Linked DNA regions of Pelodiscus sinensis. The protein of the gene in region 1 interacts with the protein of each later gene in a pairwise test. Links are inferred from orthologs where the notes say so. Each region holds a gene or a part of one and is shown in the gene's direction. Other genes may lie near its edges.

Region 1 (7,004 bases):
GGAGCTGTGACCCAGCTAACAAGCCCAAGCAGAAGCACCAGTATCATCCCCTCCAGCAGTTGCCCTTTTCAGACCCTGCCTCCCAGCAGGCGCCACCCACAGAAAAAAGGCTTCAGGCCATCAACACCTGCCTTAACAGGAGCTTGCCAGTAAAAAGGTGAGGGCAAGATGGGACCTGGAACGCTTCAGCTGCCCCCAAACCCAGGGAGTAGTAAGTGATGCCCCCCCACTCTCAACAGGTGCCATAGAGGAACTGCCCCTTTAGAACCATCCCCCTCCTCACAGTCTTTCCAGCGGAGGCCACAGCGCCTTACATAACTCATGAGTGCTCCCCCCCCACTTTTCCCACCCTGGAGCTATGGTTCTGTGGTGCACTCAGCCCCAGACGGCTGGGGAAAGAACCAGTCTGCTGTACCCAGTGCAACAGGCATCCCTGCCTTTCACCGGTGCCGCATTACCCACCCCTCACACCCATATCGCAACAGGGCCGTCCCTTGACCCGGGCTAGCCAAGGAGACAGAAGCTCTCTGGCAGGCCCACCGCCTCCACACTCATTTCAATTTGGCACTGCCAGGCAGGGACCGACCACAGCCTGACACCTCTGGGCCACAGGCTCGTGGCTCCCAGCCGGAGGCAGGGAAGCAGCGAGAGAAGGGGCCAGTACACTGTGGGGCACATGAACCCACAGAGCCCAGCCCCAGCAGTGGGAGGGCCCCGCTCCCCCCTAGACCTTGGCTGACTGCGAGCTGGGTCCAGCACGACAAGCCCCGCACAGCCCACTAAGGGGGTGTGTGTCACAAGCCGAGTCCAGTTTCCCCACAAATGGTCCCCAGCCAGTGCTCACCTAGCCACCCCCCAGCCTTGGCACCCCCCTCACCGGAAGCCTCTCACCCCCACCTCCCCCCTTCCCCAGCCCCCCTCCCCAGGCCCCTCTCACTCCCCTACCCCCCTTCCCCAGCCCCCATCCTCCCCGGGCCCCTCTCACCCCTGCCCCCCCTCCCCAGGCTCCTCTCACCCCCCGGCCCCTCTCACCCCCCCCAGCCCCCCTCCTCCCCGGGCCCCTCTCACCCTCCTGCCCCCCCTCCCCGGGCCCCTCTCACCCCCCAGCCCCTCCTCCCCCTGCCCCCCCACCCCCCCAGCCCCCCTCCTCCCCGGGCCCCTCTCGCCCCCCCAGCCCCCCTCCTCCCCGGGCCCCTCTCACCCCCCCTGCCCCTCTCACCCCCCCAACCCCCCTCCTCCCCGGGCCCCTCTCACCCTCCTGCCCCCCCTCCCCGGGCCCCTCTCACCCCCCTGCCCCTCCTCCCCCGGGCCCCTCTCACCCCCCCAGCCCCCCTCCTCCCCGGGCCCCTCTCACCCTCCTGCCCCCCCTCCCCGGGCCCCTCTCACCCCCCCAGCCCCCCCTCCTCCCCGGGCCCCTCTCACCCCCCCTGCCCCTCCTCCCCCAGCCCCCCTCCTCCCCGGGCCCCTCTCACCCCCCCAGCCCCCCTCCTCCCTGGGCTCCTCTCACCCCCCCTGCCCCTCTCACCCCCCTGCCCCCCTCCTCCCCGGGCTCCTCTCACCCCCCTGCCCCTCTCACCCCCCCAGCCCCCCTTCCTCCCCGGGCCCCCCTCACCCCCCCAGCCCCCCTCCTCCCCGGGCCCCTCTCACCCCCCCAGCCCCCCTCCTCCCCGGGCCCCTCTCACCCCCCTGCCCCCCTCCTCCCCGGGCCCCTCTCACCCCCCTGCCCCTCTCACCCCCCCAGCCCCCCTTCCTCCCCGGGCCCCTCTCACCCCCTGCCCCCCTCCTCCCCGGGCCCCTCTCACCCCCCTGCCCCTCTCACCCCCCCAGCCCCCCCTCCTCCCCCTGCCCCTCTCACCCCCCCAGCCCCTCTCACCCCCCTCCTCCCCGGGCCCCTCTCACCCCTCCAGCCCCCTCTCACCCCACTGCCCCCCCTTCCCCAACCCCCGCCCCAGCGGCACCTGGCTGGCGCCCCCAGCAGCAGACCCCACGCCCGGGGCCTCTTCCGCGAGCAGCGCCCCCAGCACCCACCTGGCCTGTGGCCTCCGGGATCAGCTGCTGTAGCCCCGCCCCCAGCTCTCATTGGCTCCGCGGCGCGGGGAAGGCCGTCGCTACTGGCTGGCTGCAGCGCCCGTCCCGCCTGGATCGGCCTTTGCCCGGCGCCTTCTTAAAGGGGCCGCGGCGCGGGGCTGGGGGAGGGACCTGCATGGCCATAGAGAAGGACAGCCAGCGGGTCCCAGCATGCACCGCTGCATCCCTGCTCTCAGCATGCACCGCTGCACCCCAACTCTGGGACCTGGTAAGTCCCAGCATGCACCACTGCATCCCTGCTCTCAGCATGCACCGCTGCACCCCAACTCTGGGACCTGCTAAGTCCCAGCATGCACCGCTGCATCCCTGCTCTCAGCATGCACTGCTGCACCCCAACTCTGGGACCTGCTAAGTCCCAGCATGCACCACTGCATCCCTGCTCTCAGCATGCATCTCTGCACCCCAACTCTGGGACCTGCTAAGTCCCAGCATGCACCGCTGCATCCCTGCTCTCAGCATGCACCGCTGCACCCCAACTCTGGGACCTGCTAAGTCCCAGCATGCACCACTGCATCCCTGCTCTCAGCATGCATCTCTGCACCCCAACTCTGGGACCTGCTAAGTCCCAGCATGCACCACTGCATCCCTGCTCTCAGCATGCACCGCTGCACCCCAACTCTGGGACCTGCTAAGTCCCAGCATGCACCGCTGCATCCCTGCTCTCAGCATGCACCGCTGCACCCCAACTCTGGGACCTGCTAAGTCCCAGCATGCACCACTGCATCCCTGCTCTCAGCATGCACTGCTGCACCCCAACTCTGGGACCTGCTAAGTCCCAGCATGCACCACTGCATCCCTGCTCTCAGCATGCACCGCTGCACCCCAACTCTGGGGCATGCCTGGTCCCAGCATGCACTGGTGCATCTCAGCTCTGGGAAGCTCCCAACATTCACCACTACCCCCCGCCAGCCTTGGCAACGTGACAGGCTCCAGCATGTACAGAGCTCTGATCCAAGGTGGCAGCCACCCTACTGGGATGGCAGAGCCCATCAGTGCATGTGCCGCTTGACACGGCAGCCTGGACGCTGTATGTTTAACTGGATAACCAGCCCGTCCTATTGTATTATGAGTGGGGAGCTGCTCCAGCCAGGTGGGGCTGGAGTTCCCCCAACCCATGTTGCACTGTGGTGGGCCTGGCTTGACCACAGCAGTCCCCTGCCAGAAGCATAGCAAAGAGAAGGGGCCATTCTGACTGGGCTGGGGCGGGGGGCGAATAAACAATTACTCATTTACATCCCTATTTAATACTCATTTAACAAACAGAAGAGCAACACAGACATTTGAGATTTTAACAAAATAAGTATCAGAAGGGTAGCCGTGTTAGTCTGAATCTGCAAAAGCGGCAAGGAGTCCTGTGGCACCTTATAGACTAACCGAAGCGTGGGAGCATAAGGTTTCGTGGGCAAAGACCCACTTCGTCATCTGAAGTGGGTCTTTGCCCACGAAACCTTATGCTCCCACGCTTCGGTTAGTCTATAAGGTGCCACAGGACTCCTTGCCTCTTTAACAGAATAAGATCACTGCCCCACCAGGATGTGCTGATTAATTCTTCATTATTCATATCGCTTTCCTGCACACACACAGGTGCAACATTCAGTGTAAGTTTACTGATTTACCTCTAAGTTACATTTCAACCAGGAACTTGCAGTATTTTTTCTATAAGAAAGGAAATGCGAATTTTTCCTACAGCAAAAGTTCACCCATTTGTACAAGGTCACCAGATCATCACCTTGCGATGTTTTTTCCAGGTCACTGGACCACTGGTTAATATTTACTTATGCATCTATACATGGTAATGGTTCGTATGGATATTGTTTATATAAAAAGGCACCTCACTGAACATGGGCAGGACTTCACCTTGCTTTCTCTTCTCTATTATCTGTAGGAGTCATGCACATTTTTTAAATGACACCGTCCATATCAAAAATACGAGGAGACATTTTGAACCTATTAAAAAATCCATTCAAAAGGCCTTGCAAAACTACCTAGAGATCTTGTGATGGGGTGGTACCAACCCTGTACTGGGGCTGCGAGATTTAACCCAGTCTACCTGGCTGAAGAGACCCCACTCCAGCTCTGCTCCAGCTAGAGACCAGGTGTAAGGGCCTGTGGAGCAGCTCAGTCTGGATTGACAGCCCTCAAGGAAGGAGGTGCTGCTGGAGTCCCCAAGGAGGAACCACAGATGGAGCAAGACATGGAGGCCAGCCAGTGGGGAATGCAGGAAAAAGCCTCCAGTCTGGAGAGAAGAGCTGGGGAAGACTGCAATGGAGAGACTGGTAGGAAGTAGCCCATGGAGAGGAGTTTCAGTGGGATTTCTCGCCGAGCTAGTGGTGGACCACTCCACTGCTGACAAGACCCTGGGCTGGGATCTGGTGGAAAGGGTGGGCCTGGGTCTCCCCACCATCCTCAACAGCAGAGCTATACCCCACTGCTATTGACTCTAACGGCTAGGCCACACTGCACTGGGCATTGTTAGAGACGCTGGGCTGGATGTGGTTTGGTCCTGGATACGTCCCGGATGAGCTGCAGTTGTAAGAAGGGGAGGCATAGCACCCTCCTCCTTAAACTGGTATGCACGTGGGGTTGAGCACCATTTGAGGGGTCTCAGAGACATTATGCCCACCCCCTGAAGGGAGATGGGTGTGCTGCCCCGATGACAGATGTATAACTTTTTAAAACTGAAGTTCTTTTTATGATTGTCAGGCCAGTAGCAAAAGAGGATGAAGACTTCTTTCCTTCTTATGGTCTGCTGCAGGGGGGCACTTACTCCCCAAATCACCTATTAAACAGTCTTCTTCCCCTCCCCACCACCACCCCTGAGGTACCTCAGAATTTCACATTTGATTCCAGGCAGGACTCTGACCTTTCCAGCTTTCCCATTCTTTTGTGTGAAACGGATGAAAATGTCTATTACTTTTAGTTCTTGGATTTATAGTATTAAGGGAAAAGAGGGCTAAAGGAGGCCTTGTTTTTTAGAAAATCTGGAAGACAAGTGGAAAAAGGCAGCATTTCAGCTGGTCTGACTCTCTGTGCTGGCAACATGTCTGCTTGTCTGATTTATAAGCAACTTTGAGGATTATTGTAAACTGAGAAAAAAGTGAAGCAATCATTTTCTTGAAAAAGCCTCAACTCTAGTATTTTTCTTCTGAGAAATTACTCTCTGAGACCTGGGGAACTTTTGTCTTGGTGATTTGTGCTGGGAAAGAAGCTTGAAGTTGGACCAGCCTGTGCACTGGACCTTCTACAAAGTAGGAAAGAGCTGCTTTGATTTTAGTCCAGTCTACTAGGCTCATCCTGTACTCTAGTCAGCCAATCTGTCTTTGATTTAGCTATATACATGTATGTTCGACTCCCAGAGAACTTCATAAAGATTTTTCTGCCCATGTTGTTACCCCAGAGCCCTTTTGGTAACATTAATCCTCTTCCCCTACAGGCTTATCCCTGAAGAAATTTATTGCTAGGGGGATGGGAGTGCTTATATTATCCGTATAGCTAAGGGGTCACATGAATTTGAATGGTTACCCACTGGGCCACATGAAAGGGAGCTGTAGGGGCTCCTCTCAGAGTCCCGGAGGGGGAGCTCCCCTTGGAACACTGAGGGCGAGCTGTGAAGGGGCTCCCCTCATACAGACTCCAAGGGGGAGGGAGAACTGTAGGGGTCCCCTTGGAACACTAAGGGGAGCTGTGGAAGGGCTCCTCTATACACTCCCTGAGGGGGAAAGGGAGCAGTAGGAGTCCCCTTGGGTCACAGGGTGAAGGGGAGCTGTGTGGGTTCCCATTGGAGCACTGAGGAGGAACTATGGGGGGCTCCCTTCATACAGTGCTTGAGAGGGAGGGAAAGCTGTGGGGGTCCCCTTGCCCCTTGGAACACTAGGGGGAATTGTGGGGGGCTCCCCTCATACGGATCCTGAGGAGGAGCTGTGGGAGGAGCCCTTGAACACTAAGGGGAGCTGTGGGGGGCTCCCCTCATACAGCCCCTGAGGAGCAGGGGGAGCTGTGGGGGGCTCCTTGAACACTAGGGGGAGGTGTGGGGGGCTCCCCTCATACAGCCCCTGAGGAGCAGGGGGAGCTGTGGGGGGCTCCTTGAACACTAGGGGGAGGTGTGGGGGGCTCCCCCATACAGCCCCTGAGAGGAAGGAGGAGCTGTGGGGGGGCCCTTGAACACTAGGGGGAGCTGTGGGGGGCTCCCCATACAGCCCCTGAGGGGAAGGAGGAGCTGTGAGGGCCCCCTTGACCACTAGGGGGAGCTGTGGGGTCTCCCCCATACAGCCCCTGAGGGGAAGGAGGAGCTGTGGGAGGGGAGTGCCCTTGACCACTAGGGGGCGCTGTGGGGTCTCCCCCATACAGCCCCTGAGTGGGAGGAGCTGTGGGAGGGGAGTGCCCTTGACCACTAGGGGGCGCTGTGGGGTCTCCCCCCTACAGCCCCTGAGGGGAAGGAGGAGCTGTGGGAGGGGAGGGCCCTTGACCACTAGGGGGCGCTGTGGGGTCTCCCCCATACAGCCCCTGAGTGGGAGGAGCTGTGGGAGGGGAGTGCCCTTGACCACTAGGGGGCGCTGTGGGGTCTCCCCCCTACAGCCCCTGAGGGGAAGGAGGAGCTGTGGGAGGGGAGGGCCCTTGACCACTAGGGGGCGCTGTGGGGAGGGGAAGGGATTTCTAGCTGCACCTCACGCACACGTACGTCCTGACGCAAAGGTCACGCCGCGCGCGTGACCCCTCATCCCGGAAGCGAGCCACTAGCCCGAGGCCCCCCACGAGCCGCCGCTGCTCCTGCTCCGCCGCGGCCGGTCCCGCCCCCTCCTGGCCTGGGCGCCGCTTCCGTCATGTGAAGGCGGCGGCCCCGGGGCAGCGGCCCGTCCAGGTGCGCGGCCTCGGGCTGGGGAGTCGGGGGGGGGAGGTTCCCAGGCAATGGGGGGGGG
Region 2 (7,153 bases), on another chromosome or scaffold:
CCATGTCAGTGAGGGTTGGGGGGGGGGCTTTCCTTCTCACTTGTGGCCCAACTGATTTTTCTGTGAGTCAGTGGCCCCAGAAAAGGTCCAGAAAAGGTTCCCCAGCCCTACATTAATGGGAAGCCCCTGAGCCCTGGTCTTTAGCTACCCATTTTGTAACTGCAATGCCAAAGGCAAACTCACATATGATATCAATAATACTGGTTTGCACTTCAGTGGCACTCTCCAGCTACAGATTCTGAGAATTAGAGGATTAATGAATCTTTGTGACATGTCTGCAAGGGTGGTGGTATAATACCCATTTTTGCAATAAGGTAAACTGAAGAGCAAAGCAACAGGTTGAGTAAATAGAGCCAAAAGTGGATCAAGTGACTGCTCCCGATCAGTAGCCAAACTATAACAAGCAACCAGGAGCCCTAGCTCAGAGGCGGCAACCCCGACTAAAACTACTAGTCAACATTCCCCCTTCTTACACTCAGCTGGTATTTTAAAAGGGAAGTGTAGGCTCCCTTTACTAAAGGAGCCTCTAATTTTTACTGGGGGGATCCTTTGTGCTGCAGTCTAGCCCTAGAGACAACAACTCCTATGAGCCCTTGGGGAAAAGGAGGGAAAACTGTTGCTCTCTTGTAGGCAGTGCAGAAAGAGAGTTGGTGGGCTCCAATTTGGAAAGAGGAGCCAGACTGCTGCTGTGGAACCTTTTTCTAGTCCAGGAGCTGCTGCTCAAAGCTAGAGCCTGCTGCTGAAAGCCTGTTGGCTTGGATCTAGCAGGCCAGCAGTTCCTAGCCACTGGTGCAAGGACCAGTGCCTGTATATGGCCCCACCTTTCAACCAACCAGCAGGAGTGGGGGGGTCTCCTCCCAGACACAGAAGAGCAATTCGCTACGTGGCGGAAGAGCTGCACAGAGCCTTGCACAGCAGCCTTACAGCAGCTGTGACCTGGGCAGCAGCACTCAGCTTGTGGTTAAGAGGCACCTCAGGGCTAGGTGGGGGGAGGTGAGGCAGGCACTGAGGGCTCCCGGGGTGGGGCTAGTGCTGGGGGGCTCTAAAAAGTGGGAGGCTGGCACTGGGAGGGCTCTAGGGATGGGGCTAATATTGGGGACTGGCACTGGCGGAGGTCTGGGGGGATTGGGTGCAGTGGGGTTCTGGAAACAGGAAGTTGGCACTGGGGGGTCTGGTGGTGGTGGGCTCTAAGGGATGGGGCTGGCAATGAGGCTTTTGGGACGATGGATTGGCACTGCTGGGCTCTGAGGATAGGAGGCTGGCACTGGGTGCAGGGAACTCAGGTCAGTGGCTGGCACTGGGGGGTAGTGGAAGAGTTGGGATTCTAGGGGTTAGGGCTGGTGCTGGAAGTCTCAGGGGGCCAGGGTGTACCCCAATCCCAGCACCACTATGAACAGCTGGCTTCAGCTGCAACAGCCACCTGCCATGGGCTATGCCCATGGCTCTGAAAAGCCTGCATAGAAGGTACTTTTAGTAACTGTGGCTGTTTGGGAAAGTGCTGGGGAAGGGGAGTCGGAGTCCCAGGGTCTGGGAGGGAGTTGTGACCTGGGGGGGAGGGATGCATATGGTTTGGATGGTGACCTGGGGAAGGGAAATGGGGTGCAGGAGGGGCTGGGGTGCCAGAGGCAGGCTCTGGCCAGGAGGAGCTTACCTAAGCATCTCCCAGCCTGCAGCACCCCAAGACAGGCTGGGCTCCCTGACTGCGGCAGCCCCAAACCACTTAAAACTGCAAGAGGTTCCCTTCATGTGGGACTCAGGTCTGGGAGGGGGGAGAGGCTTATGCTGCCTCCATCCCCCAGGGCAATCTCTCAGCTCACATTGGATGTTTGGTTTTGGCCAATAAGCGCAGAGAGATTGGCTGGGGTGAGTTCCTATTGGTCGGTTGTTTCCAGCCAATAGGAGCTGAGTATTGGGCTGGAGGCAGGGTGATCACCTGAAGCCTCCACCTCCCCCAGGAGTAGAGGCGTAGAGAGCAGCCCTGCTCTTAAAACAGTTGCTGCTGTATGCTAGAGGGTCCTAGCAGGGTGTCCATGGGCTGGACTGGGCGGCTTAGCCGGATCTGGGCTGCAAGAGGTATCTTGCCCACCCCTGCTTTAGAAGCAAGAGACTGCCACAAGCGGGTGGATAGCAAGGAGATCCCTATCTACCCAGCATCACCATAGGGACACTCAGGATCTCCTTTAATGTTAAAAACATCTGGTGCTCAGACACACAGGCGAGAGAGTGGTCTGCTCCTGAGTACTCCAGTGAGGAAAGGGAGGGTTACAGAAGATTGCCTGATCCTAAAATGTCTTAATAGTTACATGGCTGTCTCCCTGAACATAATAGAATGTAAATTGTGTAACACCGTGGTTCTCAGACTTTTTGGTCTGTGTCCCACCCTGCTCAAAACAAACCTTTTGTGGACCACCAGCAACCACCCATGATGACCAAATGGGAGCAGGAGTGGACTGGGAAGATGGGGAGGAGGGTCTGGCAGGGAAGTCGGATGCAGGAGAGGGGTGGAGGTCTGGCTGGAATTCCAGGAAATGAGAGTAGAATCATAGAACCATAGAGCTAAAAGAGACCTGAGAAGGTCCCCTGCCCACGTAGTGGGGAAAGTCTCTGAGGCTATGTCTACACTGGTGGGTTATTGCGCAAGAACAGCCGTTCTTCAGGAAAGCATCCACTGCCCACCTGCTCTTGCACAAGAAGATTTACGGTACAGTGTGGTAAGAGAGGGCTTCTTGTGCAAGAGCTATGCTCTTTTTTAACAGGTGTAAGCCCTCTTGCACAGGAGCTCTTGCACAGAGGGCAGTGTGGACGCTCGGCAGGGATTTCTTGCGCAAGAAAGCCCTATGGCTAAAATGGTCATCAGAGGTTTCTTGCGCAAGACAACATCCACATTGCCATGGATGCTCTTGCGCAAAAGCACAGCTCACACATGGCGGTGTGGACATTTTCTTGCGCGAGAGTTCTTGCACAAGAACCCGCCAGTGTAGACATAGCCCATGTGAGCAGTTTCCTGCGCTGCAGTTTCCCCAGCCAAGTGAGAGGGGGAGTGGCAGCATATGGAACCACTTCCTCCCCCTATGAGCTAGATCTGACCCACAAGGCTTAGGGCTCTCCCATCCTGCAGCGGGAAGCCAACCTTGCAGGGAGAAAGGGCTATACAAGGCTGGAGTGCCAGTGAGGACTCTCTGCTTGCAACTAGAGGGAGGGGAGAGAGAGAGGGCAAGCCCACAGCCCACCTGCAAAGGCAATCACAGACCACACTTTGAGAACCACTGGTGTAACAGATGAGGAAACAATCTGTTAAAAATGGGCAATGGTTTTTGGGATCCATGGAAGACCTTTTGAGACTGATTGATTGCTCTCCTAATATACAGTAAGGGTTTGGAAATGTGGAAGGAGGACACTGAGTTGACAAAAAACACATACTTGTATATTTCTCCCAAGAAATACCAGACATCTGGTATTTTTTGGTGGAACAAAAAAAAAAAAAAAAAAAAAAAAAAAGGGACGCGGTATTTTTTTTTTGTAAAGTAGGACAAGAAGGACAATTTTTTTCAAAGGAGGACAAAAGGAGGACATAATTATTGTGGAGGACAAGCCCCTCAAAAGGAGGACTATCCTTCTCAAAGGAAGACGTCTGGTCACTTTAGGGGAAGTGGGAATTAGGTTACCTGGCTGGGAAACCCTTGACAGCTAGAAACATAGTGTAAAGCAGAATATTTCCCCACCATGCCCCCCCCCATAAAATTAGCACATCACTGACTACACTGCACAAGGTATGTGCAAGTCAGCGATCCCCACAGCCAATCACTGTTGGCAGAGGGATGAGGCCCAGGGAGTGTAACAGCAAGTGTGCTGTATTTAACTCATGCCTGCAATTCCCTCCCCAGGCACTACCGATACACCTCCCCTGCCCCCCACCAATCCAGTAGTGAACATGACAAGAGCGCGCTCCAGTGGACACGCCCAATATGGCGGTCTATGAACATCGTTCCAAGGGCCTGCCACTCTTTATATGGCGCGCATTGGAGACGCGCAAGCGTACTTCTGCTCGCAAGCCGAGCCCTAAAGTCTTGGATCTGCGCATGAGTACTGGTTCCAAGATGGTGGTGTGTGGCGGGGCGCAGGCGCATAGCCATCTGCCGCGCTCAACATGGCGGCTCGGCGCTGACGGCGGCGGGCGTGAGGCGGAAGTGGGGAGACTGACTGACAGTGGCGGGCACGGCCGGGCTGTGGGTGTTTGGCAGGCCGGTGCCCCTTGGCTGTGCCCAGCGGTTCCGCGGCAGGATGATCCCTCCGGATGAGGCCTCTGCCCGCAGGCGGGAGATAGAGGACAAGCTCAAGCAGGTAGCGGGGGGCGCTGCGCTGGGCCCGGGGAGACCCCGACACCCCCACATCGTTGCCTGCTCCACCCCCGCCCCCAGGACAGCGCCGCCCCTGTACAGCCCCTTAAAAGACTCCCTCCCTCACAGCTCCAGCATCCCCCCCCGGACAGCTCACCCCACTGCTGCTCCCCCACCTGCCCTAGGGAGACCCTCCCTGCTACCCACCCACACTGTAGGGCCCTCACTCCCTAGGCAGGGACACTGCCTCTAGTGAGAGGCCTTTCCCTGCAGTGCAGTCTGGGATCCGCCTTCCCTAAACCGCTCCATTTCCCCTGGAATTGGCCCCCAGAACGTTCCCACGATTTGGGGCTCAGGGGAGCCTCCTTGGAACCAGATTCCTGCCTGGACAGCTCCACTCCTCTGGAACTGAGCCTGCTAGGCAGACCTCCCTGGAACTGAGACCTCCTTGCTCCCCCTGAACCAGACCGTACAGCTCTGCTCCTGTGACATGCCCCCTCCAGAGAAAGACCCCCTGAGTCCTCCCCCATGCCCTTTCCCCAACTGGGGCCTAACCTGTAGATGACATCTACAGAATGACTCCAGCACTCCATAGGCTCCTGGAATTCTTCCCTTGCAAAGAGAAGACCATTTCTTGAGAGCTTTTGCATAATTTCCCATAATTTCTCCACCCCATAATATCATCCATATCCCATCATTTTAAAAATAGAACATTTACTTCTGAAATAAATCAAACACAAGAGAAAAAGAACATTCATGTCCATTTTGGTATACACACAGCAACCATGGGTCTCACAAGTCAGTATTTGTGAAGCTGTGGTTTTTCTTACTGACCTCTGGTGTGGAATGGCACAGGTAGGGATATGGCCCCTGAAGTCACATGGAATGATCAGATCTGGGGATAGGAATGTTAACATGTAACCTTAATTGGTGTTGCTTACTGGGTAATAGTTAATCGATACCCAGGGAGCAGCCCCCTGGCCCAACTCAATGCTGCTCTAGCACCACCGGGATCCCATGCAGGGCTGGAAGCTGCCAGGCTGGAGCAACTCTTGACTACGGCAGGGGCGCTACTTCAGCCCAGCCGGAAAGTGGCATTTATTACTTTGTCATAATAGGGCACTTACATCGGTGGAAGACAAGTTTGAGTGTAGTCAGATACACAGCTAGGTCAATGAAAGGTGACTCGCATTGTCCTAAATTTGTAGTGTAGTCCAGAGGCAAGACAGATTTAAATTGAATTGAGAGTGTTTGCTACACTGGGTTAATTGATTTTAAACAAATTAAACCTTTAGTTAAACTGGTGCTACTTTGTATGTAGATTATTAGTTGATTCTCACCTGCTAACATTGTTTTGTTGTGTTTAAATTCATAACACTAGAGAACAGTGTTTAAATCCAGATGCCTCTGTATTGAAATTTAAAAACAGGTATATCATTTTAATGTTTCTGTTCTAATTAAAAGTGTACGTGTTTTTAAACTCCTTCTCAATTATTTGATATTTCCTTTAATAGAACTTAGAAATGCAGTTTTCTTTCAATCTTGTGTAAAGTTTGAAATTCACCTGTCATATAAAACTGATAAATTCTTCTTTATTCCAATGTCAGGAAGAAGAAACACTGTCCTTTATAAGAGAGAGCCTTGAAAAAAGTGATCAGCTCACAAAAAACATGGTAAGCAGGGTCCCGTAAACTAAGTTTAAAAAGGTAGGATATGGTTTGCTTGGTCTCTGATTCTGGTGCTTTCTCTCCTGAGAGTTTCTTTGAAAGCTCTGATTTGCCAACTTGGGAAACTTATGAGTTCACTGGGTACTGTTTTTAGATTAGAATCTTGAGGATAGGTTATAAAGTGTGTTGGGGTGCAAGTTTGCCAGGACTGGAAACTTGAGTTCAAATGATCCTTCAATCTGGTTTAATTTATGTGCATTTATAGCATTGCTCATCTCAGTATTTCAGTACCTCCTGAGTATATGACAGTAGAAATAAATCCACTCCAGCCAGGGGGTAAAATAGCTAATATTAATTGTTCTGTGTGTCAGGGCACAGGGGTGAAGAGCTTTGGGAAAGCCAAGTAGAAGAGTAATTTCTGAATACAATTTACTTGGTGATCTTTCTGAACTCATCTGGTAGTGAATTCAGTAACCTGGATCTGAAGGATCTATTGTTGGTTGACAGTTTTGTATTGCCTGTGTATTGCCATGATCCACCACATCCGAACAGAAGCATAGAATTGGATTTGGTATTAATTAGGGAGTCCATTCCCAAGGAGAAGTGTGGCATTGATGTGCTCATGGGCACTTGTGTTGTGTAACAGGTGGGCTGCTGGATGCTCTGCCTAATGGATTCCCTCACCCCACCTCACCACTTCTTATTCTTACTTTTGAGTTTTAGTAACTGAGTCTCAGTCACTGTAGCTGGATCTGAATCTGACTGGATGGAATTGTGTACTTTTTGTTATTGTTGCAAGGAGACTAAAGTGACCTCTAGCATTGCAAATCTCTGCCCAGGAGCTGAGAGAGCATGTGGAACTCAGACAAGACAGAGATGATCTTGCTGGAGAGAAGGAAGGGCTTGGACGAACTTTGTTCCTCCATATCATCCATTTTCTGCTGAGGCCACTTACCCTCTTAATTAAGTTAGTTGCAAACTTGGAGTTCCTTGACAACCAAATTAGGGATGTGAATGGATGATCAGTTAACCGGTAAGCATCACCCTTACTGGGTGATACTTATCAGACATTGTTAAATGGCAGGGGCTGGAGCAGCCCCTGTCCATGGCAGGAGGGAGGCGGCGATCCAGCCAATCTGCAAACACCAG

What was found.
Region 2: the proteins of KXD1 (region 1) and EXOC7 interact in binary tests that used the Homo sapiens proteins (3 or more experiments, as listed by UniProt). The two-hybrid records come from large-scale screens. The link is inferred for Pelodiscus sinensis from reciprocal best matches to the Homo sapiens genes KXD1 and EXOC7.

Annotation. Positions count from the first base shown.
Region 1 is NC_134729.1:19,764,031-19,771,034, reverse strand, and holds the start of KXD1 (kxDL motif-containing protein 1), read left to right. Parts: upstream 1-3,983; 5' UTR 3,984-4,352; coding exon 4,353-4,364; intron 4,365-6,780; exon of another isoform or gene 6,781-6,946; intron 6,947-7,004.
Region 2 is NC_134730.1:10,782,367-10,789,519, forward strand, and holds the start of EXOC7 (exocyst complex component 7), read left to right. Parts: upstream 1-4,152; 5' UTR 4,153-4,281; coding exon 4,282-4,341; intron 4,342-5,944; coding exon 5,945-6,010; intron 6,011-7,153. UniProt on the Homo sapiens protein: Component of the exocyst complex involved in the docking of exocytic vesicles with fusion sites on the plasma membrane.